6 linked regions of the Tribolium castaneum genome follow. The protein of the gene in region 2 purifies or fractionates together with the protein of the main gene of each other region. This does not show direct contact. Links are inferred from orthologs where the notes say so. Each region holds a gene or a part of one and is shown on either strand. Other genes may lie near its edges.

Region 1 (3,946 bases), on a different chromosome or scaffold from region 2:
CGAAAGATGTTTACACGTCGCCATCATTTAATAATGGGACGTCTGTTATTATTGCTCGATAGGGGCTAATGCGCATAACGTAATCAATTACGCTGATAATGGGCGTTAATTTTTGTTCTATGAAAAGACTGAAGAGCTGGGTTAAAACTCGTTTGAACAAGTGTGACGGTTTACGTCTCTTCGAAATTTGTGTTTTTTTTTAAATGTGATTTAACCAAGTTTCATTTTTTAACACACGTGTGAAGACTTCCATTTGATTAGTTTATAATTACAAATCACGGCAATTAAACTTTTCACTTTTCGAGTTGAGAGACATCTGGTTGATATTATTACACTTTTGTGATAAGATTAAGAAAAACGTGTTCGTGTCATGATATGCTGCTATTTTATTACATTAATCGAATTCCTAACAATTACCTACCTTTTGTTTAATTAATAATTTCAGAAGATATTATGAATATTGTATTTCCGTGAAAAAATACAATGTTTTTTAGACAAAAAATATATAACCCATGATAATAACCGGTAAGCATTTTATTTAACATTCCATTATAAATTGGTTTCCAATAGAAATTACATTTTTTATTACATGTAAAACCAATTTTCATTTTCCAATACCTATAATTGTGATTATGTAAATTAATTTTTAACAATTTGCCATTTTTATCCTCTATCCACCGCTGTACAAACATTATTTCTGCATGTTATTACTGTCAGATCAGTTTTTGTAATTATCTCTGACCTTTTTCTTACAAATAAATAAATATACACCGTTAGTAATTATTATAACGTTATAATTTAAAACATACATAATAATACCTAAATTAAAAACAGAGACAAACTCTAATTTAAATAATTTTACTACCTATTTATTTGGTAGATAAATGAATAATATTAAAGTAGAGCACAATGTGACACATAATTACAGTTTTAATAAAATTCGCACAGACTACTCTTATGAAACACGTCCTACAGATTGAATAATTATCAAATTATTTCCCTCGTCTTACCTCTGAAATTTTATATAAACATGTTCATTCCAGCACGAAAATGTTATTCAAGAATTACTAAAAATCGTAAAAACAAAAATCTAAACTAGTATTTGACAAAAAAATAATTTGTGGAAATAAACATGTAAAAAAGCTTTTAAAAATGTAATTTGACCATACTGTTTTTTACAAGCTAGGAGAGCAAAATGATGACTTTATTTCGACATAACCTCAAAATAACATGTTACGTAAACAAAATCCAACAACATTTCGTCCATCATAGTCAAAACCACTGATATTTTTAAAGTTTTAATATAAGATTCGAGGAAAATTTGCAACAATATCGGCAACAACGTTCATGGAACATTTCTCGATCCCATGTTGAACATTTTCAATTCAGCTGATCCGCAAAACGACACGCCCACTTATTTATTTCTGGCATAAACAAAACCGGTAGCGTTTATACGAACTGCTACGCAGTTACTTATCGCGTCATTCCGGACAATAATGGCGTCGGTATTTCTCCCCGGAAAAAAAAACAAAACAAAACTCAGGGTAACAATTCTTATCATTTTGGCACTCGTGAGATAACCAAATAAATAGTCCATACCCTAAACCATTTATGCAAACAGTAAATCAACTTTCACGGATGACCTTGAAAAGGCGCGCGTCAAAGTTTTAGAAAGCCCGCATAAAAATCTCGTCACGTGTCGGTTTCTGGTGGCCATTTTTCGGCATTTGTGTTGTGGCAACGTTGCCACACCTTTGTGCATGAGTAATTTGTGGCAGTGGCAACGTTGCGTGTCGACTTCGCTCCCGCGATCTAGCAAGCTAGGCTCGCGATTGGCCAATGAAGGAATCGATAGGCGAGTGGAAGGGCAGGGAACCGGACGTGCGAGGCGCTGCGACCGAAGCGACCCAAACACGAAAGTGCATAAAGCCGAAAATCGGACGCGACTCTTTGTCAGTAAACAAATACAAAATGTTGCATCGAAATTTCGTAATTACCGAAAGGTCGGCAGATTTTCGGCGGAAAAGCGTTGCCAGGCCGACGAAATTTCCACGGAGGGAGAGTGCCGGCCCCCGCGACGGAGGCTAATTTTGGAACGCCGACGCCGAAATCGCGGAAAAACCATGGGAAATGCTGGAAAAGCGGCGCCGAATTGGGAATTGCAATTACACAACACTTGTGTCAATGTGAAAAGTTAAAAATATGTCACTCACCTTACAAAAGCCTCTTTCGCGGAAAGCGCTTCCGTGCGGACTGGTGCCGGGGATGCACCGTACAATTGCAACCGATCCGCGCTGATTTCACTGGGAAATAATTGGAAAACACTAGAATTCATCAAAAGAAAATTCTGACACATTCTGTTCCGAACCACCCGAAACGATGACCGATTGTCGACTGACTGGCTGCTTCAAATCTCCGAGCTTGTTTGGACGAGTCCATCAATTTCGGGTGGTTGGTCGCTTTGCCCACTTTCAAATTTTTCAAGTTTTTGATCACCAAAATGCACAAAACCTACACACAAACATTACGACGTGCCACAGGATGAGCTCCCAATTCCAGAAAAATTACACTTTAGTCATATTGTGGATTTTTTCAGTTTCGGATACTAGCGACCGCCCCTCGAATCAATTGTCTGATCCGTAAAAGGTTTGTTTGATGCTTGCTCTGATAGTTCAATGTGAAGAGAACAGTGGCGCTGTTATCGATTTTTAAAAATACCCGCCAAAGAACAATGTAGTGCCCATTTTCGGATTAGTTGAGCGTGTAGCAGATGTAAAAGTTTTAAACTGACCTCTGACTGTTATTAATCTTATTAAGCCGGACATCAAGATTCAAACTCTTTTTGTGTCTATTAATTATTATTAATAAACTACACCTAAACATTTTTATTACTATTAAAAATAATTATACCTACAAGAAATTAATCAACTAAACAATTTCTAAAAGTATTCGTGCCAATGATTACGTGGCTGCAGAGGCTAATAAAAAATATAAAATTAAATAAAAATCTGAAAACAAGTAAAAAACTTGTCTATGCAATTAATTCATAAATCCACTTTATGTTGAATATACATCCAGTGAACATTACTGCATAACACACACCTCAAGAAGACACATTTTAATTACTAATTATTAATTTAGTCACTCTCTTCGGCAATAAGAACCACAATGAAAAATTAAAAAAATAATAATAACTGAAGTGAGTGTATAAAAATAGTTGAAAATCACATTTTTGGATTCAAAACATCAAAAAAAAACACACACACACACACACACAGTGATGCATGGAGAACATTGGAAATTTAAAACAGGTCATAAATTCCATTTAAAAAATTATGTAGCAATCTGAAACTTGAAACAAATACCATATGCTAATATTTAAGAGCTTTTGAGCTTTTTGAGAAAGATAAGAGTTGAAAAAAAAATAAATTCACTTGGTTTATTGTATTTTGGGTTGCCCACTTCAATCAGTGCTTCTATTCTATGACAGACAATAAATAATTGAAGAAAATGGGGTCACGTTTGTGCTCCGAGTCAAAACGGCTCCAATACACTTCTGATAAACTTGTAAAAAATTACCGTAAAAAACAGAAACATCCAATTAGTTAGAATTCAACCCAAATTAATCCAATTATTATTCCCAATTAGATAATTCTTACAAAAACTAACTGTATTATTGGACCGTTTGGTTATGTATTTTATCGATTTAATTTTACATTATAAAAACCACGGGATTATAACTGTGAAAGATTTTCGGTTCAAATAATTTTCATTACGGGAAATACCATTGGAGCAAATACTATCAGCCATCACTATCAGCATAAGCCCAATTTAGCCAATCAGAAGGTAGAAACGTGTCATTAGAAAATTATGAACGTCAACCAGTTTTATTTTGAAGAAAGCGAGCCGCGAAAATATTATTCTTGCCAGTTTATTCCGAAAAAGT
Region 2 (3,955 bases):
TCATTTATTGACAAAATTGCAACAAATCTTAGTTTCCCACATAAATATGTATGGCGAAAAAGACCAAAGTAATGTCATTCCCTACCTTCATTTGTGATTTTTTTGGCCTGTTATTCTAGCGAATTAATGCGAATTACTATGAGTAAGTGGAAAAAAATCAAAGTGACGTAATATTCGATAACTTTATTGATAATCACTTGCTCTATTTGAGCGAAATTTCAACAGAAAAGTGAGAAGTGTGCTTAAAAGCAAAAATAATATATACCTAATTATAGGTAAAATAATAATTATGTGATATGTTCGGCATTTGTACTTCAAATTTTACAAAAAAAAAACGACCCAATTCTAGAAAAACTGATCAAAATAATTCACATTATTTTCGACCTTTCGCTCAAAATTCACGTCATTTCCGACGTATCAAATAATTTCTCATCTTGTTTTAACAAGTCACCGTAAGCCCACCGAAAGGAACGACAACTATCAAGATCATTCATTGGTCTTCTGACAAAGTTTTGCATATTTAAAATAAAAATCCGGTATTTCAAACGTAATTAAATTATTTTTGGCGTTTTAATGCAGTTTTACGAAAAAAGTAAAATCATCTTACACTTGTTTAATACTTACTTGTTTAATAATAAAAATACCGTAATTTTCTACGTAATAAAGAAATTGTTCAAAGTGTTTAACGAAATCATACAAACAACGAAATCATAATAAAGAAAATGTTCGGAGTGTTTAACGAAGTCATACAAAAGTGGTCATTTCACAGTGAGTTTCTCGCTTAGATTACTAATGATTTTTGGTCCTGTTGTAACCAATTTATGAGAAATAGGTATGTTTTTAATCAAAATGCTGAAGAAAGGCAAAAATGGATATTCGATGTCCACTGATAATCCTTTTTAAACCTATTTAAGCAAAATGTTAAATTGATTGAAACTAATAAATAAAACTAGAACTAAAAATGTCCAAAGAATATATAAATTTCAGAAAATTACCGAGTTATTAAAGCAATTGTGAAAAAAAAAACAAAGAAAATCACTCAAAACAAGAACAAAAAAGCCAAAATAAAATCATTTCCGATCTTCATTTTTGTTTTTTTTTTTTGACAAAAACAAAGGCAAAAGTAATATAAAACTAAGCAAGAAAAGTGAATTTTTACCTTAGAAATGTGTTTAAGTAGGTATTAAAAAAAGCAAACACATTCTTTGCCTTTATTCGATGAGATTTCTTAAAAAAATGCTTTTCATCTATAAAACGACTTTAAGTTAGCTGAATTATTCAGAGTAATACAATTTTCATCCTTTGTTGGAAACTTCTGACCGTATTAGAAGAAAATTTTACAACAAAATATTTAAGTAATTCTCGACATATAAAAAATGTTTCGAACAGTTTGCTTTAATACTTATACACCTCTTTGTATTTTACTAACCGTATTTGCAACGTTTTAAAAACATTTCAATAATGTTTTTCCCCTAGAACAGCACATTTTTCTCAGACAAATAGTGAACCGGTTGAGTTTAAATTAATTTAAATGAAACCAAAACGATGCTATGGAGCACTGATGCTCTGGGGGACTAAATTTTTGGTAAAAACATCGAGTTATTTTGTATCTCGTTTCGCCCCTTTGTCTTATTTTTAGAATACTCACCGTATTTGTGGAACGAGACTGTCATCACCCGGTCAGTGGTGTAAAAAGCCTCTTCGACACCGTCACCGTGGTGCACGTCAATATCGATGTACAACACGCGTTGGTGGTACTTCAACAGCTCCAAAATCCCCAGAACAATATCATTTACGTAGCAAAAGCCCGAAGCTTCGGATTTTTTCGCGTGATGCAAACCCCCGCCCCAATTGATGCAAATTTCGGACGCTTGCTTGTTCAATTTAACAGCTGCCGCCACTGAGCCCCCAGCTGAGAGTTGGCAGAATTCGTACAAACCGTCAAAGACAGGACAGTCCTCCCCTACATTAAACCTCTGCATTTGTTTGTTGTACTCAGACATGTTGTCAGGTCGGATGGATCTGAGAAATCGAATGTAGTCATCCGAGTGAAACTTGGTCATTTCTTCGGCAGTGGCTTTATGGGGGCGCTGGGAAAGTCAAAACTAAATAACACCAACAATTCATGGAAATTAAATACTCACATAAATCTCCATTTTTCTGTACAGACCATAATTGAGCAGCAAATTATGGGTCATCCTTATGCGGTGGGGCTTCATGGGGTGTCCTTGCCCATAATAGTAATTCCCAATATCGCCTAACAATTCAAAATTATCAGAATTGAATCAAAATTCACGATGGACTAATAACATTCGCCATCGTAACACCGTACAAAAAAGCGTCATCATCTCATCATAAACCAAGCTAACCAATCAGCACCGAGCAAAAATACCGCGACCGTAGTCTACCGTGAATTTCCAGGCTTACGGTTTCGAAAATCGTATTTACATGATAGCACGATACGACACAAAATTAAGCAAACGCATGCATTTTGTTGGCAAATTTCAAAAACAAACGCCCCAAAATGGTGGAATAATTCATGTTTGGCTGAAATTGGTGGCTACTTACTGTCGTAATAGTAACAAACACGTTTCCGACTGTGAGGTTGTGTGGCCATCTTGTACTGTAGAAAACTAAATTGTTTTTAATTACTTTGGCTTTAATTATTACAAATCACTGTTCACTTTGTAACAATTTGTTTAAATTATTAGAATTACGGCGGTAGCACAACACGCCGCTTTGCAAATGGCACCGTTGTTCCCGCAGCAAGGACGCCAACCTAGCACCGGTGGCGATTTAGTGTAAAGTTGAATTTCCCTACTAAAAAATAAACAGGGTGATTCTTTTCGTTTTTGCATTGTAATGCCACCATTAAGGCCGTAACAAAGCTTTCTTTTTCATTGTTGGAGTTGATTCTCCTAACTTAAAAAAACTCTCCTTACGTAGCGCCATCTCTTTTCTTTAGAAGAGTCCTTAAGACCATATCCACAGCTTCCTTGATTAACGAAGGGAAAGTCCCTTGACCCTTCATTAATCAAGAAAGCTGTGATTTTCAACCGAAGGGGTCCCAAAAACGTTGAAGACGGTTTTTTACCAATGTTCGAATAATGGAAAATTAAATAATACCTGAATCGTAGAAGATAATTCACCACAACTTTGTTCCTTAGAACTGTTTTTTCTAACTACACCGCTAATAATGCCACATTAACTAATGAACAAAAATCAGCTTTTCATACAAAAATTCTCATGAAAAAGGAAGCCTCTACTGTAAAAAACTTATTTATCGAAGAAAACAACAATTATATGTTATGAAGATTGGTTAGCAGTTTTCAGTAGAGCAAGTTCTAAATTCTTCTTTACACTTAGTTAGAAATAATTAAGGGGTTGCATTCCTAAACATTTTTCCCTTTACATTCGAAACTGAGAAATTCTTATTTCTTGCCTTTAAGTTTTTCAGGTTTTACTAAGATAATTTTACCACAAAAAAACAAAAGTTGTTTGGGCTTAATCTACATTTACTTGACGATATTTTAAAGCAAATACAATGTTTAACTATTAGTTTATCACAGAAACAACGAATATATTTTCAAAACTTTTAGTGAATATATTAAAAAAACAAGACGTGATAGACAAATGTGAGATATATTTTAGTTATTACGTTATTAGTGAGTGAGAAGAAAACAAAATCAGTATAAATTATTTCTTGGTAAAAGAAAAAATTTTTTGTAAACTAGTTTAATTATCATAACTAATCATAGGACCGGTTTATAAAAACGTCATTAATTTAATCAGTTATAAAATGCGTGATTAACTGATTACGTGACCAAATTGAAGTCATTTGGTTGGTTCATTCGCGTTGTTAACTTTTAACAACGAATTCAATTTTAACAGAGCCTTTTATAAACCGGCCCATAAATTTAAAAAAATTAATAATATTTGAGAGTTTAAAGCAGCG
Region 3 (4,027 bases), on a different chromosome or scaffold from region 2:
TTTTAAATCAATTGATCAGATTTTTTGTTTTCGACTTATTTTTTTAATTTATAAGTTCGTAATTGTTTAGCCAATGAGTTTGAATTCATATTATAGAAAATACAGAAGAATGTCTTTGAAAAAAGTCAGTAATAACCTGAGATTATAGGAAAAAGGGTATAAGTGTAAAATGGCTACGTAATTAAAAAACAAGAACTTCTTAAATAAATGCATACAGGGTGATTTTTAATAAATATCTTACAAAATAATGAAGACATTTAATAATATAGTGCACATTACAAAGAACTTTTTTAGGTATTTATTTAATTTTCAGAATTATTATCTGGCATTTTTAGAGAATCTGTGTTAGAACTGAGTTCGCTATTTCATTCAAATAAATTGATTTATTAAAAAAAGTTAATTATTATAAAAATTATATAAAAGTTAATTAATTTTACCAAATTCTAAATTGCAAAATAGTTATTAATGATTAGACATCTCATTGAAACTATTATTACATTAGCTATTGTTTTTTTGAAGTGCATGAATAATTTATAACAGCTAATTTTGAGAGAAAATGCAACGTTGGCATTTTCATTAATTTCGAAACAGCTAATAATCTTGCATAACGCTCCTGAAATTGGCACAAAAGCAGTCCCGAATTTACTTCCTGCCAACCTAAAAATTTTCGTAAAATGTTCCGTCAAATAATGACTAGGTATTTTGGCATCAGACTTGATGACGTTGCTCTTTTTAATATATCTCTTAAAGCATCAAAATGGCGTCAAATTACAAAACTGTTTTTTTAAGAATGTCACAGACAGGAGCGGCAAAATTACGTGGTCCTGGGCGGCAGGATAAATACGTCACTGGTTACTGACAAATTTTGAGACAAATTGTTCCATTACTTACTAAAGGTCAGAATAAGGGATAAAAAAATCGCAAGTTTGATGTATTTTTCTAATAAAAAAGAGAAAAGTTCCCGTAGTCCTTAGTTCCTTAGTCTTTAAAAATTACCAATATAAAAGTAACAAAAACGACGAGCACACTAAATACAGACACCTCCATTGTGATACCAGTAATTTATCACACGAGTCACGCATTTTTTTGGAGCGACTTCTAAATTGCATTAATTATTAAACTTTCATCTGATTTATTTCTAGTAAATGTGGTATCAAATAATTCAACTTGGCAAAACTTCACATTAAAAGAAAAAAGAACCTACTTTACCCTACCATTTGAGCCCGATAATTGCTTCTCGACAAATAAAATCAGTCAGTGCAGGTAAACGAATAGAACAAAAAAATCACCAAAAGCAGTGCTGCAAAGTTGCATTTTGTAATATCGTTACGGTAACCTGGAAAAACATAATTTTATCACGCCGTAAATGCACAAGATTGGAGATTTTTATAAGATGGTGGTTTTAAGTGACAATTATCCCAACCGGACCAGTTTGTCCCAGTCTCCCCTAATGCTTCCAGACCCACCAGATGTCTTTAATAAAAAATCCTCGCAGGTATAACGAATAAAGCTGGTAAAAAACTCAAGGGTTGTTATCTTTTAATCATGTTTGTAATGAATTTACATTTAGCAAAAGTTTTGAAACAAAACAATCGATGGACCCAGACGACCCGGGATTAAAATAGGTGTAAAAAGCCGCAATCTAGGCCCTGGTATAAAATGGTAAATTAACGAGGTGAATACCTGCCGATGACAACAATCGCCCCGGCATCAAGCATCAGGTTTCGTTATCTACTTTTTGTGTGTAATTATAAAAGTACAGTCTTGCATAAAAGAACAAGCATCTCGCAGTTGTCATAGCGACGCGGTCTGATCGAGTACAGTTGCGGCAGGATTTCGCGAAACAACACCACGGACGGTGACAAGACAGGTACAGTCAGCGAATATCGATCGCCTAATCAAGACTTTTGCCCCTCCACTCATTTAGAATGCGTGAAAAGCGAGAATGTCGCCCCGACGAAGCACCGCCGAAAAACGGAAATCGCGACAAGGGCCCCACTTGACTTACATTGGTGTTTGTCGGCGAGCTGGATCAGCTGGCTGGGCAGGTCCCTCCGGCGGTAGAAGCACATCACCTTCGCTTCCACATTGCCCGATGCCGTCTTATTCAGCTCCTCGATTCGCCGGATCTGGTACGGGGACGTCGATGACGTCTCAAAGTACACGTAATCTAAAAAACGGAAATGTAAACAATAACAGTGGACATCCTCCTCGCCTAACGGGGAAAATGACCTCTCACGGCGACCCGCGACTAACTTTTCCCAACTTTGATTCGCAAAAACGGGAGAGTAATTGGGCTGGCGAGGCAGCTCCTTTTGTTTGATTAAAAGATACCAGGTGAGATAAAAGGTTGAGCACCTGGCGTCACGACGGGACACTCCAAAATAATTACCAAAGTGTAAAATTACAATCGGATGGCTTTATTAATAGTCCCGTCGTTTCGACAAAATCGCGAGCACGCAGCGGCGCGAAAAATCACCACAATTAGATCCACCTATCGAACCCCGATCGCAATTATCAAACTGGACTACTCGAGAGAAAGACTTCCTCTTGAGCGAAGCCGGTTAATTAAATCACCAAACACTCACCTCCGACACGATACATGTTAGCTGTCATCTTCAAACACAAAAACGATTTACTCCTAACAGTAATACTACGTTAATACGACACACATTTTAAATAATTTCGTCGAATTTCTTCAATGTTTTGTCAGTACACTAAACACCATCAAGCCAACAGACGCCATTTTCTCAAATCAAACTCCCTGTTGGCGTCTGAGCAAAGAATCACACACGATTGTTTACACCAACGCCAAAAGAACTCTCAGCGGCCAGTAGCAGAAACATTGCGACGATAAAACAGAAACATGCAAAAAATACGCAAAAACTGGCACGTACAGCGTTGCCAGACCCACCGATTTTTCGGTAGATCTAACGATTTATCCAAAAGTCAACATTTACAAAAAAATGTAAAAAATCAGTTTGAAAAATATTTTCACGACAATAAAGATTAAAAAAATGATTGAATTTTTATTCCACGTGTTGATTGCTTATTCTTTAAAAAAAATGAAAATAATAGGAACTGCAAAGGCTACAGATTTTCCAGGAATTTAGCCGATAAAAAGCAGGGTCGTCTTAAGCGCGGGTGCAAGGAGGCACCCTGGCGGCAAGTTAAAGTATTAAATATGATTTTTAGTTTTTATTTTATTCTTTATGTAAACCATTTAAGCCATTTAATAACTGTGTAAGCTTGATAATAAAGTACTGAAAAGACGCAAATTTCGCTGCCAAAAATTCTTTGGAGGTGATCAATTTGTTTCTTTTGTTCAGGAAATTACGTATTTTATTCTGCTTCAACACTGCGATAAAAAATAACTTCTAACATCAACTCTGAAACCCCCTTCAAATAAACGATGGTAACGCAGGACTAATGCTGCAAAAAATCTTCAATTTAAAAAAAGTGTATACGTCATTTTTTCTAATTCAGATTTGGATAGTGAAACAAAAAAAATTGCAAATTCTTTTTAACTCTTCAAAATAATATCATATAAATTACGTGCCTGATACATTTTACTACAATTTTTTTTTAAACTAGGAAAAAATTTTCAGATTCTCCCAGATGTTATTAAAGTAACTGTGCTTAAATGTTGAAAGGCGATAAACCTTTTTTTAGATAAATGGAGAATTGTTATAACAACCGAAAATAAAAAGCTGTTTTTTTTGTAAAAAAAATAAGTGATAAGGGCGGCACTTAAAACTTTGCACCATGGCGGTTATAAGCTAGAGACGGCCCTGTAAAAACCCCACTTATTAAACGTTACAATAGAAAATATTGATTATAATAATCCAAGAAATTATCTTTTGCTCGAAGAAATGTATTTTGGGACAAATGTTGCAAAAACTATTTCGGAAAGCAATTTTTCCTCTGAACAGTCCTTGTTGAAAGTTGCAAGCAAATACATACTACAGATTAAAAAATTAAAAAAATAATTTTTTAGACCCGAAAATTGTTGACTGGTGTTTTTTCC
Region 4 (4,147 bases), on a different chromosome or scaffold from region 2:
GAAGTGTGTGTATTAGACCAACCGTGGCGCTAGCATAATTTACCTCTATTTATTTTGTAATCATTAGATGACTACATCCATAATCTTATCATGTAAACATATCAAGTGAACAAACACTACCTAAACGGCCCTTTCATGCGAAAACGCGCCCTTTTTCAAACAAGTGTTTTTTACAAAAAGAATCGTAATGTTTTTAGTGGAAACTCATGATATATTAACGCAATTAACAATAAATTCAATTCAATCGCGCGTTTATTTTTTTTTTGTATTAAAATGTATTGTTGGTTGCCTACGAATAAGGGGAACCTAACCTGTAAAATGTTTTGTTGTGAAAAAATCCTAACGGCGATAACCGTTGGGGTGAAGACTCGTACTTTTGCAAGTGTTGCAAGTGTAAAAATGGCCGGTTGGAAGGAAGACAAAGAAAAATTTCTGTCTATGCCCCTGGACGCCAAAAGAAAATTCTACGCCGGAAAGCAATACAAACAAATATCAGACATCCCAACTTGGGAGGAATACGCCAAAAAAGCGACCCTCGCCCCACAAATCCCTTCAAAGACCGACTTCCAAATCGACAGTTCCCTCAATAGCTCTCTCTGTAAGAAGGTTTCGATTTTCCAGGGCGACATCACAACTTTAGAGGTACTTAATTATTTAAATTCACCCGAAAGTACATTTATTTTCCAGATTGATGCGATTGTGAACGCCGCCAACACGTCCCTCCTGGGCGGCGGCGGCGTCGACGGGGCCATCCACCGGGCCGCTGGCCCCAATTTGCTCGCCGAATGCAAGACTCTCAATGGGTGCCCCACCGGAGACGCTGTCATAACTGGGGGCTATAAACTACCAGCGAAATGTACGTTTGCCCATTGGTGGCTGAAGACTCACGCTTTCTTGCAGATGTGATCCACACGGTGGGGCCCAGGGGCGAAAAACCGGGCCTTTTGCAACAGTGCTACCGAAACTGTCTTAAAATCATGGCAGAGAGGAAACTGCAAACTGTGGCGTTCCCGTGCATTTCCACCGGGATTTACGACTACCCCAACGAGCCTGCGGCACATGTAGCCGCCTCGGAAGTGCGCAAATTTTTGGAAAAAAACAGCGAGGTTGAGAGAGTCGTTTTTTGTATTTTTCTGGACCAGGATCATGTGATTTATGAGGGGGTTTTGCAGTCGTATTTTCCTTTGAAATAAATGTTTGGTGTTACTTAATTGTTTTTTATTTTTTTCTTCCTCTATTAAAAAAAAATCAAAGTCAGGTGTGATTTTGGGGGAAAAACTAATAAGAGCGAGAGAGACGCGACGAGTGTTGGTTATTTCGTTCGAGAATTCTGTGACACATGCGCCGTTGGCAGCATTGTCTAGGAAAGGGGATAAGAGTGAAGTGAGGGAAAGAACAACTATCCAAGAAAAGCCGTGTAAAGTTTGTTTCTTGTGGATTTTCCTGAATAAAAAGTGAACAATTAGTGCAATTGTCGTTGAGTGGCCCGCGTGATGGCTTCCGACGAAGAGGTCGAGGACTCTTACGCCGGTAAGTTTGTTTTCCGTCCGGTGCATAGGTGCGAATCTAAGCCGACTTGATATTCATGTGTTTTACTTTTAAGTGCCGAAATTAAGCCAAACACCGTTCGGTCCGGCTCTGCGGGCCCCCCGCGGGCCCCGGGCGCGCGGCTGGGGGCCCAGAGGGCCGCAAAGACGAATAATTATAACCTGGTAATCAGTTATATTAGGCGCGGGGAAAGGGGGACGCAGGTTTTCATTATTTTTGTGACAGCGCGCGGGCATATCCTGACCCTTAACAAAATGGAGGCCATCAAACAAAGAGATTGGCAGATTGTAAATTAAAGGTTTCCGCGATAAATGTCTCGGAGGTTTTGGGGTTAGAAATTTCATATTTTCCCTCCAAAATTTTGTTATGATCACGCTGACCACTGTCCACATGGCGTACACATGATTTTATTTTTGGTAATTAGGGGAGGAGGAGGCTCAGGAGGAAGCTGCGGGGGATCCCGTCGACAACGAGCCCGAGTCCGACGAAGCCCCAATCAAGCATGGAGTAATATTTTTAATTCAAGGTATTTTTATTTGGCTAAATTAGAAGTTACAGGACGAGGATGATGACTACGAACCGGAGGATGCACGAAAGAAGAAAAAGGGGAAAAAGCGGAAAGCAAGAGGCGAGGAGAAGAAGGGCAAGAAGAAAAAGAAGAAACGGAGAAATGACAGTGGAGACGTAAGATTTTTTAGCCAATTGCAATTTTCAACAAAAAAGTGCAAATGCTATTAGACGAGAAGGGGTGTCTTTTTCCCTGAATGCTAATTTAAAATACGTTTTCATTTTTAATTAAGGAATTTAAAAAAAAATGGACTGAAAGTAGTTTGTTTCTATTGTTTTTTTTAATCGCAGAATCATGTTTTTCGAGAACCTTAATTACTCCAAAAAAACCTGTAAATTATAATAATCAAATCCAGCTTCTCTACGTTGCTAAATTGGTCTCCGCTTAGTCATAAAACGATTTAATTTACGACTTAGATCTGGGTTGACAACTCAGGAATAAACAGTAACTGAAAAGTTGAACATGTTTGAAATTCGACGAATTGCAGTAACAGGGACGAATTGTCTTCCTGCTTATTTAGTGTACGCTTCACATGTACTTTTTTTTTCTTTTGCTCTGAATTATTTTTCACGTTTTCTTTCTATCGTTTAATAGTATTGATCGATGTTCTATGTATATTTAACGTTTATTCTTGATGATTCTATATTTTTCGAATGTATTTATTACATAGTCTGTACACATAGTTGCCCACTTATTTTTAATTTTATTGGAAGCAGTTACTTCATTTTTTGTTTATTTTGAGATTAGCTCAGAACGTGAACAGTGTTTGAATTTTTTAATCTGTTACAGCCAACACAACTGCTTATACAGGCAGGCTATAAAAGTTAAACTTAGGGTTTCTGATGTCTCGACTTTTTTTTTTTCTTGAGACCGCAGAATCCTCGGCTGGAAATTCTCCAGACTTCTTGAATCTCGAGAAATTTTTAAATTAAAAAAAAAACAAAATTTTTAAACAGATGCACAATAAAATAACGCTTATTAATAACCATAACCATAATAACAATTATTAAATTTTGTTAAATAAAAATTTTATTTGCTGCTTTAGGAATTTTTCTGACAAAGCCAGAATTAACTAAATAAGACTTCCTTCCATCAAATAATGTGTCTGTCAATTATACAATAAATAAAAAAATTAGTATTAAACATTAAACAGGTTCCACTTTAATAATAAAAATGAAAATATAAAATACGGACATATTTAAAGAGATGAATGATAATAGTAGAGGTCAAAAGAAGTTAAAATAACTCAACCTGTCTTACTTAAATATTTAGTTTCTGAGGTAAGAGGGTGCAACCCCCACTTTAGCGTTAGAAAATTCGTCAAAAAAAGCAATGTAAACGGAGTTTTCATCTGCTCTGTACTTTATTCCCAAGTTTCTTTCAACAAAATGATTTACGTTTTGCAGAAAGTTTTTGTTTGTCCTTCCGATTAAAATAGTAACTGATCAAAGCACATTTTAATGTCTTAATGTAAAAAACGAATATAAAATTTTTATCCTGTGAATAAATTAAAAAACCCAAAAATTTTAGTAAAAAATTCATACTCTCACATAAGTGGCGGTATTTTCTGTCTGTATACTCTCGACTCTTCAGTGTTTTCCGGATATATTCTGATGTATTTAGACTGACTAAATTTCTATAAAAATAATGTCTACCTACTTATATATAATAGAGTTAATCGTCTATTGGTAGAGATAATGTGAAGTATTTTTCTTGTGTAATTATAATAATAGATTAGCTGATGGTGGCATTTTAATGCCGAAACGCTCGTCAAAGTATGATAAAAACTGTTAAGAATTATTAATAAAGATGGATCTTAAAAAACTACCAAACATTAATCTTAACTACAGGGTTCACAAACGAATTTAACTTCCTTATTTGATAACTTTTTCAAGAACGAAAGTAAAGAAACATTCGTTGATGGAGCGAATTCAATTACAATTTTTTATTGGTTTTACGAATATTGCAATGTCTGTTATGCAAAAATTAATTCTTTATGAACGAGTGCTCGTATTAGATCATCTGTGAGAA
Region 5 (4,295 bases), on a different chromosome or scaffold from region 2:
GCGGCCTGAGATAAGGCTAATAGTTACATTTGCCTCAGTTTCAAGTAATCATCGGTCAAAACTCGTCGGGCCGTGCGTTTAATTGTGATTGCAAGATTCCAAAAGGTAGGAAACCAAAATCGTTTTAAGGTTTCGGCAAATTATTCTTTATATTTCAATACATCAGCGTTGTTTTTTTAAGGAATTGGAAATTTAAGCTGTGTCTCAAAATATGTAAAATGTGCGTTTTTCGTTGTCGCTTCTATGTTTACAAATAAAATTGCGTATTATTCTCGTAACATGAAGATTAATTAATTTTTTTCAATTTTAATTCAATATTTGTACAAATGGAAAAATGTTAATTACAAATTAAATATTTTAAATAGAATTTAATTGCACAATTCATGTATTAATATGTACCACCTATGTGAAATGAAAGTTATGTGCTAAACTGCGAGTTTAAAATGAAAATGGAAAAAAATCCGCGAACAAAAGTGCATTTATGAGTTTTCACTAATGATTCACTGCAATCGCTGAGTGGAAAAAAGTTTTATAAACATTAAACCCTCTACTCTCAAATTATATAAAACAAAATAAGAATTATTTGTTGATATATTGGTAACGAAAGAACAATAAAGAACTTGAGATTTTGACATAGAATGGTTAGTGTGAAATAATATTTTTTTCATTAGCCTACAAGTTGTAATTTTGCGACTGTTCTTTTGTGGTGCAGTAATTCTTAAGAAAATAATTTTTCTAATTCGTCAATGAAAGAAAACAATTGAAGTCAATTAAGTATGCGAAAACATGTAACAACTGTAATGTAATTTTTGTTTTGTTTCCTCGAAAAAAATTAATTCTTATGCAATATCAGAAAGAATTAACTTGAATTACAATATCTCAAATAAATAAACACTGTGGGTGTGCCTTGATACCGCCTCGTATCAGCTGCCATTTGCGTCTTCGAAGATAAGAAAACGTTGAACAAGTGACAAGAGGTGCGACCTTATCGCAGATTCTACCCGCGAGATGCAAACAGATACTTACCTCTTCGTGTCTGCTAATAATAAAAATAATAATAATAAATGAATATTGCGCTTGGTCATTAACCGCCAATAACTTTTTCCTAATAAAAAAATTAAAATTATTACGTCGGCATCAAATCGTTTAGATCGGCGAGCGTGTTTCTCAGGTGGTGGTTTGATCGCCATTCGCCCCACAATCCCGTGCGGTTTATAGTCTTTATCAGCCTTCTCGCTTTCCTCATTTAAGGGTGATGTCATTTTCTAGAGAATTACAGTAGAAAAAAAAACAAATCCAGAGTTTTACTTACAAAATTCAAAGTTTTGCCTTGTTTGAAAAGATCAAACGGGTAAAGCAACCTCTCATAGTGCGTTTTTAGAATGGTCCCTATGCTCTTACCAGATGGGTACCCCATAGAGACCGAAATTTTCGACCACTTTCTGTCTTTGGTTACTTGGTCAAAACCACCTAATAAGCAAAAGTCCAACAAAAAATTACCCAGCAATTTGTAATTACCTTGACTTTGAACAATGCTGTGCAACGTGTACAGGTCAATACAGCGTTTTTCTACCATTGGGATTTTCAGTGTGGAACCTTGCAGTTCCCAGAATTTGGCGATTTGGTCGAGGAAGTTTAATTTGACGCGAGTTTTAGCCTAAGGTAACAGAATTAAAGTCGAACTTTGCTAAATCGGGGTAATACCTCTAATTCGTTAAGTCTCTGAATTCGTGGCGTAAATCTAAGTTTGTCAACGTCAACGGCAAAGGGCGGTTGCCAATTCTAGAAAACATATTCGTATTAAACCTCTATCAAACATGGTGGCTTTGCAGCCATAGAACCTCATGTTTCACTTGATTGCTAATGGAATTCTAAATAAAAATAGCCGAGGTTCCTGAGAGTGGTTCAAAGTCTATTCGGGTGCGAATTGATTAACAAAGTCGAAATAATTTCGATGGTCTCTTTTGTGACTTACTGGAGGCGGTTTGATCTTGCAAATGCCCGATCCCTCAGCATACTTCCTGATCTTGTTGATGTACTCGAGCGGATCGTTGAATTCCTCCTCGGTTGGGTGGAAAACGGGAGCCTCCGGTGGAGGCTCGAACTCGAAACACTCTTCTTTGTAGCCACAGCCCGAGTCTTGCTTCGGGCTGGTGTTTTTCGCGTGGTTTTTAGTAGGACTGGTGGGTTTATCCACTTTTGTAGTCATTTTGGGTAATTTTACATAATTAAGTCCTGGAAGAAAAACACGATGGACTTTTCGCACCGAGACACGATGGAAGTCACGGCCTAATCATCAGAGCTCGGGAAAAGTTACTTTCCAGAAGATTAGCGAGGTGCGATACCTGGCCGTCACAATAATCACGTTTTGTTATTGAAAAGGGGGCGATTTCACCCGATTCGCGAACCCCACACTTCCCGAACCCCGTTGGGACACTTTTTACACCAACTTGCCCGAATTTCGAGTATTTTTTTTCATTCTGAACCAACACAACAACATTACATGTAATAATATCCCCACCAGCCGTCATCGATTGCTTGAGGATCTTGTGAATAGCAACATAACAAAGATGGTCTACACAGAAATTTATAAATACACACGAAGATTCGAAATTCGGCCTCCGATTACACAAAACACCCCATTTCCTACTTACACCACGCACTTTGCTCCTAGTTCAGCCTCAAACACCTCCGTCCAACATTTTGCACCATAAATACCAACTTTTAGGTTAACTAGAAAGGTACGTGACGCATAGCTAACCAGCTAAGGCAGCTATTCCATAGAATATAGAACAGCAATCGACATGACCAACAATTCGCTGGCTTACTGTGCAGCAATTATTTCTGGGGCCTGTATTATTGGTTGCATAGCACTTAGGCTGATGATTGCCGTTGACCTTTATGAATTGTCCATTCTCGTTAAAAGTTTAATCAGATTTGTGAAATGGAGCACTGCTTTATTATTACGTAACAACAGGAGTTTAAACCCGATATTTTAGATTTATTGCTGCTTTTGCAAAATAATAGAAATGAACAGTGGCGGAGGTTTGACTATTGCGAAAGGGGCGGGGTTAGATTTAATTAGGTCATTGTCTGCCAAAACAAATTTTCGTTCAAACCTTGAAATTTATCATTTGTAACAACTCTATGTGTGCATTTTTTGTTTTATAAATAATAATATAAAGCAATTGTTTAGATTTTAATGATTTAGAAACAATTCCTAGATAACCACTATTTAATACGGCATCATGGATTGTGTTTGAAAAAAGTTAATTTAAATCTAATTCCTCTTCTACACTACACACAATTTTAAATCACCCTCTGCTCTGCAGTACTACAATTTTCTAAGTAATTTAATAATTCTCCCTGAAATTTATAAAAAGACTTACCAGCAGAAATTATGAACTTGAGCACTAGAACTCAAAAGTCCACTATTGGCGGCATGTTAACACCTCTCTTCCGTTATTAATCAAAATATTTGTGTCTGTATGCGATAGGAGAAATACTTGACTTATGAATTCACCATAATTGTGCGATTTAATAAAAAATTGATTAAGACATATTTTTGAAATTATTAATAGAATTTTAAACTGATTTACATTACATTTGATTTTTTATGTACCTAATTAATTTTTTTGGTTAATTTTCAAAAAATATTTTTTCTCAAATTTTAAATGAAACACTCGAGTTTAAAATCAAAATTTTTAGATTTATTACTTACTTTTCAAAAAAAAAATTTAATGAACAGTGGCGGAGGTTTGGCTGTTTGTTTGGCGTTAGGTCTTTAGGTCATTACCTATTAACACAATTTTTGGTATAAAAAAAATAAAAAAAGTAATGCAATTTCATGTAAATTATAAGCACCACCTGTGAACCGGTAGCGAAACCAAAACCGTTGTGCGGGAAATTTTTAAATTTTAAAGTAGACACGCCTCATTCTCTAGAAATTCTGTGCATTTGACTTTTTATGTAATTAATTTTTGGACTAATGAAGAAGTATTTGGTAACAATTTGTAATTAAACACAAGGATGATATTTTTATTTATTTAATCAATTTTGTTACATACTTTATAATAACAGAGTATGTGATGTAACAAGCAATCAAATTGATCAAATTCATTAGTTTTCCTTGTTTTCTTCGTCATTTTTCTCCTCCAATTTCGGCTCTTCTTTCTCCTGTTGATCCTCCTTTGGTTTTTCCTGCACTTCCTCTTGTTGTTCCTCCTGCTGTTTCTCCTGTTGCTCCTCCTGCTGTTTCTCCTGTTGCTCCTCCTGCTGTTTCTCCTGTTGCTCCT
Region 6 (4,251 bases), on a different chromosome or scaffold from region 2:
GAAGAAATTTGATACATGTTGAGTGAGTTTGACCGTAAATTACTCAAATTACTTTTTTGGTTTCATTTGAAAAAAACAAATAAAATTAAAAATATTTCAACATATAATAAACAAAATGTAATAAAAAAGTCTTCTGAGCCAAGAAAAACATTTCTAGCCAAAAGAGCTCAAAATACTCTATATGATTTTATTATTAAATTATTATGTTTTAAGTTTCATCAAAGTAAAATTAATGAATCGTAAATTGTCATTTTTTATCTTTTTAAACCAGTTAAATTTTTATTATTTAATCTGAAGTAGGTAATGCTAAGATAAGATAATTAAAAAATGTGGCTACTTTTTATCGTAAAGTCTACATTAGGAAAAATATAAACAAAGTGATATTACAATACTTTAAAATTTTTGTATGAATATCAACGACATGATTAATTTTGCTTTGTTTTATGAATTATTTAGAGATTATTTCTGAAATTTCTTTAGATGCAACCAAAAATACTAATTACACTTACCACTGAATATGCGTTTGATTTTTAATAAATAATTTTTATATTTTTAATAATAAATAAAAGTAGTTCATAATGAAATTTTAGCAAAGACAAAGTTGCCAATGCAATCGTGGATTTATTTTGAAATTTCTAAGAAAAGTTGCTTTAAATTTGATGATTCATTACTGCAACTACGTGTAACAAGATGAGAAATTTGCATTTTCTTACGACGTACATGTTTTTACAACAGCAATTATAAATGCTAAGCAGTTAAAAAAACATAATACAAACAATTTAGAAAAATGTGAGTTTGTTCAAAAAACATCTAGTACATAAATACAAATTGCATAATGAGTTTCATAACTAAAAATATCACGCCACATGTCATATGTCCGTATTTTAACAATTTTTTTGATTACATACAATCTAATGGTTTCGAGTTGAAGTCAGAAGTGTTCTTTATTTAACCTTTTTTATGCAAATTATTCCATTCACGAATAATCTGGAATCAAAATCTATCTCTTTTTATGGCTTTGACATTAACATCCGGTAATTGTAAAAAATAATTAAATTAGGACGAAATGTTCTCTTGTATAGGGTGTTCCAAGTATTATGGCCGAGGCAAAAATAAATATCTCTAGTCGAGTAAAAAATTAAATAGTTTAAACGATAGGGAATTAATTGAGTTACCACTTGATTTTTTTATTGTTCAAAATTTTTAAGGTATTGCTGTGAGACATGTAACTCGTGTCTTTTACTGTTACATGATAAAAAGTTAAATGAAGTGAAGAAACACAAACAAGGTGTGAACAAAAAAAAGATTTTCCTTTTTTCATTTTGGTTACGAAATGCACTCAGTTGTTAAGCTTGATGCAGTTTTTTTTTGTTGGTAATATTTTAACCGTTCTTTTTGATATCTGAATCCTACATTATAAACACTATTTTAAAACACGTTTCCGATAGCAATTTTAAAACACTCTTCCCATAGCAACGTAAATTAATATGTTCCAACAAAAAAAATTGAATAACATTCATACGAAAACGCTTAAAGTTCTTGGGTGTCTAGCCCTCGAACTTTAAGTTTGTGTTTTCGCACTCGTATTATTAATAACTATAAATAATCTGTTTAGTTCAATAACAGTGAAAAATAATAAATAAAGCTTAATATTCAAAGTCAGTTTTTTTTTATTATTTTGGAGTAAATTTTTTTACACGACGTTTGAAGAATGCATTTCCGTTCTGTTGGTTTTTCAACATTTCTTATCTCAATGTTTACACAACTGAAACATTAAGTCATCGTCAGTTTAGACGACGTCTGTATTATTTTTTACCAAGCTTCACATTACTCCAAATTAGCACAACTCTATATCAAAGCCCCCAAGTTGATTAACCATTTTTCAAGAAATTAGTGAACATCTGCAGACATTTCGACCAGTTCATAAATTATAAATTACGACCTTGGATTACTTTATTGACTCCAAACCGTAATAATAAGCTTGTAAAGCTTTTATTGTCAGTCAATCGTCAAACCCGTTTCGTCTATTATACCATAACTTCCTCAACATGTGGCACTTGGCAACAATAATGACGACTTACAGCCCCAACCCCCATTTCTTGACAACTTTTATTGAAAAAAACCGAAAACGGCGTCCTAATTAACCCCACGACTTCCTCCCCGAAGCTCCTCAGCCGTGACTCACGTCTTAGACCGGAAGGGGTGACAGGAAACCCCAATTATGTAAGGAAATACCCCTTGAGTCACAAACCTTATCAACAAACCCATCGCAAACTGTCGATGGAAATTCGAGGTTAGCTCCGCCGGGAGCCCCCATTTCCCCCACCAAACAACCCGAAAAGGATAATCATTTTCAAGGATGAAAACTCACCCGACGGACTCGTTTTTTTATAATCCTTTCGGCGGCATAAACATGGTCACCAAGTTCCATTGTTATGGCTGATGGGGACGCATAAAAACTCCGAAAATTATTGCGCACCAGATACTCATCTAAGTGCACAACCACAAATCGAACTCAGCTTTTCTCAGCATTTTCCCGAGAAAAACAATACGGAGTTTTCCGCGAAATTCACAAATTGCGTCCACAACAACTCACTCACATCACATTGGCTTTGGGGAATTTGACGTGCCCGGTTGGATGCACTGTGCGCGCAGCGCAAAGATATTTTTGGCGAAATTAATTCATTTCGCGATTTACAAAAGGCAATCACACATAATCTTCAAGTAAATCACCAGAAGTTTGCACAAAAAGGACTTTGGGGATGTTCTTGCGGTTATCGCACTCGCTTTGCAGCACTTTCCACCCCTCTGGGATAATGGACTCGTCCAGCCGACCAAATTTTCAAAATATTCTTCCAACATTTCAAAAAAGTCGAATATTTTTAGTTAAATTTTTTTTCACGCGGGTTTTATCACATATACATGTTTAGTGTGTCTATAAGGTTACATAACAATTTTTTGTCCACAATAATGTTACTTGCTCATTGCCTATAATTATGATAATTTTTTGGTTCGTGAAAGAATGACAAAGTTGTTAGCAGTAATTTATGTTTAAAACTTTATCTTTTTCCCAGTATTGCCAATAACTGATTGTTTACTGAAAAAAAAATACATTTTTTGCGGCTTTCCCGGGATTTCCCAATTGTGAAGATTAAAAATGCAATTTTAAATCCTTAATAATTTAAATAATTATTCCAATAGCTATCAATTGATATTAAATTAAACTTCATCTTTTTTCAGATTTTATTTTGCCAAACTAGATTTTTGTACTGGTCCACTGTAATCCCTGACACTTGTTTGAGATTTGACAATTCCCTAACCTAGGAATACAAACCGGTTGGCTTGAGAGTTGAGTTTTTAGTGCAAATAAGTTCAAAACATGGCTGGGGCTTCGAAAAAGTCGCGAAAGGTCGCGAAACCCGCCTCTGATGAGGAATATCAAAGTGACGAGTCCGGGAGTTACCATGGCCAACAAGTGGGTACAGTTTTTGGGGTTATACTTATGACACGTGCTCTTGTAGGAAATCCAAGCGACTTTTGAAGGCCGAAACCCCGAAGGCCAAGATTTTCACGGCATTAAACAGTTACTGAATCAGTTATTTTTAACTGCACATGTTGATTTGGGCCAAATGAGTGACATGCTTATTTCTCAGGCTGGAATTGGATCTGTTTTGAAGCAAAGTTTTAACGATAGCGACGACGAGGAAGATATTGAGATGGTGGAGGAGTCTGATGTGTTTGGTATCACCAGTGTTATCAATCTAACGCAACACAAGGTGGTTGTGTTTATTTTGCAACCTGGGGATAATAGGGGGTTTTCAGGAGACACCATGTGTTCAACAACTGTACAAGTTAGTTGATGATGAGGTTACGAAACAGGCGGATCCTGAAGCTAAATCGTTATTTAAAGAAATTGTGGGAAACAATTCAAACAAAATTGGTTTTATTATCAATGAGCGGTTTGTTAACATACCATCAAAAATCTCCCTTCCTATGCTACACGCATTACAAGATGAAATACACAGAATGGGGAAGAAGAATGACGGCTATAAGTTTGATTACTATTTAATGATTTGTAAAAACTGGAAGTCCAAAAGCGACGGTAGTGAAATCGTCTTCTCAAATGATGAAGAAGAAATCTTCTGGAAGAAAGCTGACTGTAGGTTTGAATACAGTGTGGCCGGAAAAAGTGACACAGGACTGACGGGGAATTGGCAAAGTGAAGATAAAGAGTTGATTCCACACAGAGTA

The links.
Region 1: the proteins of HDAC1 (region 2) and Sin3A purify together in Drosophila melanogaster (affinity purification with western blotting; 3 studies listed by BioGRID, with this or other methods). This does not show direct contact. The link is inferred for Tribolium castaneum from reciprocal best matches to the Drosophila melanogaster genes HDAC1 and Sin3A.
Region 3: the proteins of HDAC1 (region 2) and MTA1-like fractionate together in Drosophila melanogaster (co-fractionation; 3 studies listed by BioGRID, with this or other methods). This does not show direct contact. The link is inferred for Tribolium castaneum from reciprocal best matches to the Drosophila melanogaster genes HDAC1 and MTA1-like.
Region 4: the proteins of HDAC1 (region 2) and Mi-2 purify together in Drosophila melanogaster (affinity purification with western blotting; 5 studies listed by BioGRID, with this or other methods). This does not show direct contact. The link is inferred for Tribolium castaneum from reciprocal best matches to the Drosophila melanogaster genes HDAC1 and Mi-2.
Region 5: the proteins of HDAC1 (region 2) and Kdm5 purify together in Drosophila melanogaster (affinity purification with western blotting; 3 studies listed by BioGRID, with this or other methods). This does not show direct contact. The link is inferred for Tribolium castaneum from reciprocal best matches to the Drosophila melanogaster genes HDAC1 and Kdm5.
Region 6: the proteins of HDAC1 (region 2) and polycomb group protein Pc purify together in Drosophila melanogaster (affinity purification with western blotting; 3 studies listed by BioGRID, with this or other methods). This does not show direct contact. The link is inferred for Tribolium castaneum from reciprocal best matches to the Drosophila melanogaster genes HDAC1 and Pc.

What each region holds. Positions count from the first base shown.
Region 1 is NC_087396.1:24,661,653-24,665,598, forward strand, and holds the start of Sin3A (paired amphipathic helix protein Sin3b), read right to left. Parts: upstream 2,801-3,946; 5' UTR 2,214-2,800; intron 2,134-2,213; 5' UTR 1,998-2,133; intron 1-1,997.
Region 2 is NC_087394.1:10,698,296-10,702,250, reverse strand, and holds the start of HDAC1 (histone deacetylase HDAC1), read right to left. Parts: upstream 2,801-3,955; 5' UTR 2,618-2,800; coding exon 2,569-2,617; intron 2,258-2,568; coding exon 2,145-2,257; intron 2,091-2,144; coding exon 1,649-2,090; intron 1-1,648. UniProt on the Drosophila melanogaster protein: Catalyzes the deacetylation of lysine residues on the N-terminal part of the core histones (H2A, H2B, H3 and H4).
Region 3 is NC_087396.1:14,172,158-14,176,184, forward strand, and holds the start of MTA1-like (metastasis-associated protein MTA3), read right to left. Parts: upstream 2,801-4,027; 5' UTR 2,617-2,800; coding exon 2,589-2,616; intron 2,390-2,588; exon of another isoform or gene 2,233-2,389; intron 2,171-2,232; coding exon 2,009-2,170; intron 1-2,008.
Region 4 is NC_087395.1:15,688,995-15,693,141, reverse strand, and holds the start of Mi-2 (chromodomain-helicase-DNA-binding protein Mi-2 homolog), read left to right. Parts: upstream 1-1,347; 5' UTR 1,348-1,493; coding exon 1,494-1,530; intron 1,531-1,972; coding exon 1,973-2,055; intron 2,056-2,097; coding exon 2,098-2,232; intron 2,233-4,147. Other genes in the region: macro domain-containing protein CT2219, read left to right, coding at 274-642, 688-856, 901-1,193. UniProt on the Drosophila melanogaster protein: ATP-dependent chromatin-remodeling factor which acts in nucleosome-remodeling by catalyzing ATP-dependent nucleosome mobilization. Involved in regulating transcription. Plays a vital role in development.
Region 5 is NC_087403.1:6,553,770-6,558,064, reverse strand, and holds the start of Kdm5 (lysine-specific demethylase 5), read right to left. Parts: upstream 2,801-4,295; 5' UTR 2,655-2,800; intron 2,236-2,654; 5' UTR 2,210-2,235; coding exon 1,976-2,209; intron 1,783-1,975; coding exon 1,705-1,782; intron 1,658-1,704; coding exon 1,519-1,657; intron 1,471-1,518; coding exon 1,313-1,470; intron 1,266-1,312; coding exon 1,131-1,265; intron 1-1,130. Other genes in the region: UPF0746 protein DDB_G0281095, read right to left, coding at 4,120-4,295. UniProt on the Drosophila melanogaster protein: Histone demethylase that specifically demethylates 'Lys-4' of histone H3, thereby playing a central role in histone code. Does not demethylate histone H3 'Lys-9', H3 'Lys-27', H3 'Lys-36', H3 'Lys-79' or H4 'Lys-20'.
Region 6 is NC_087395.1:14,257,104-14,261,354, reverse strand, and holds the start of polycomb group protein Pc, read right to left. Parts: upstream 2,801-4,251; 5' UTR 2,432-2,800; coding exon 2,372-2,431; intron 1-2,371. Other genes in the region: protein BCCIP homolog, read left to right, coding at 3,380-3,475, 3,522-3,776, 3,823-4,251.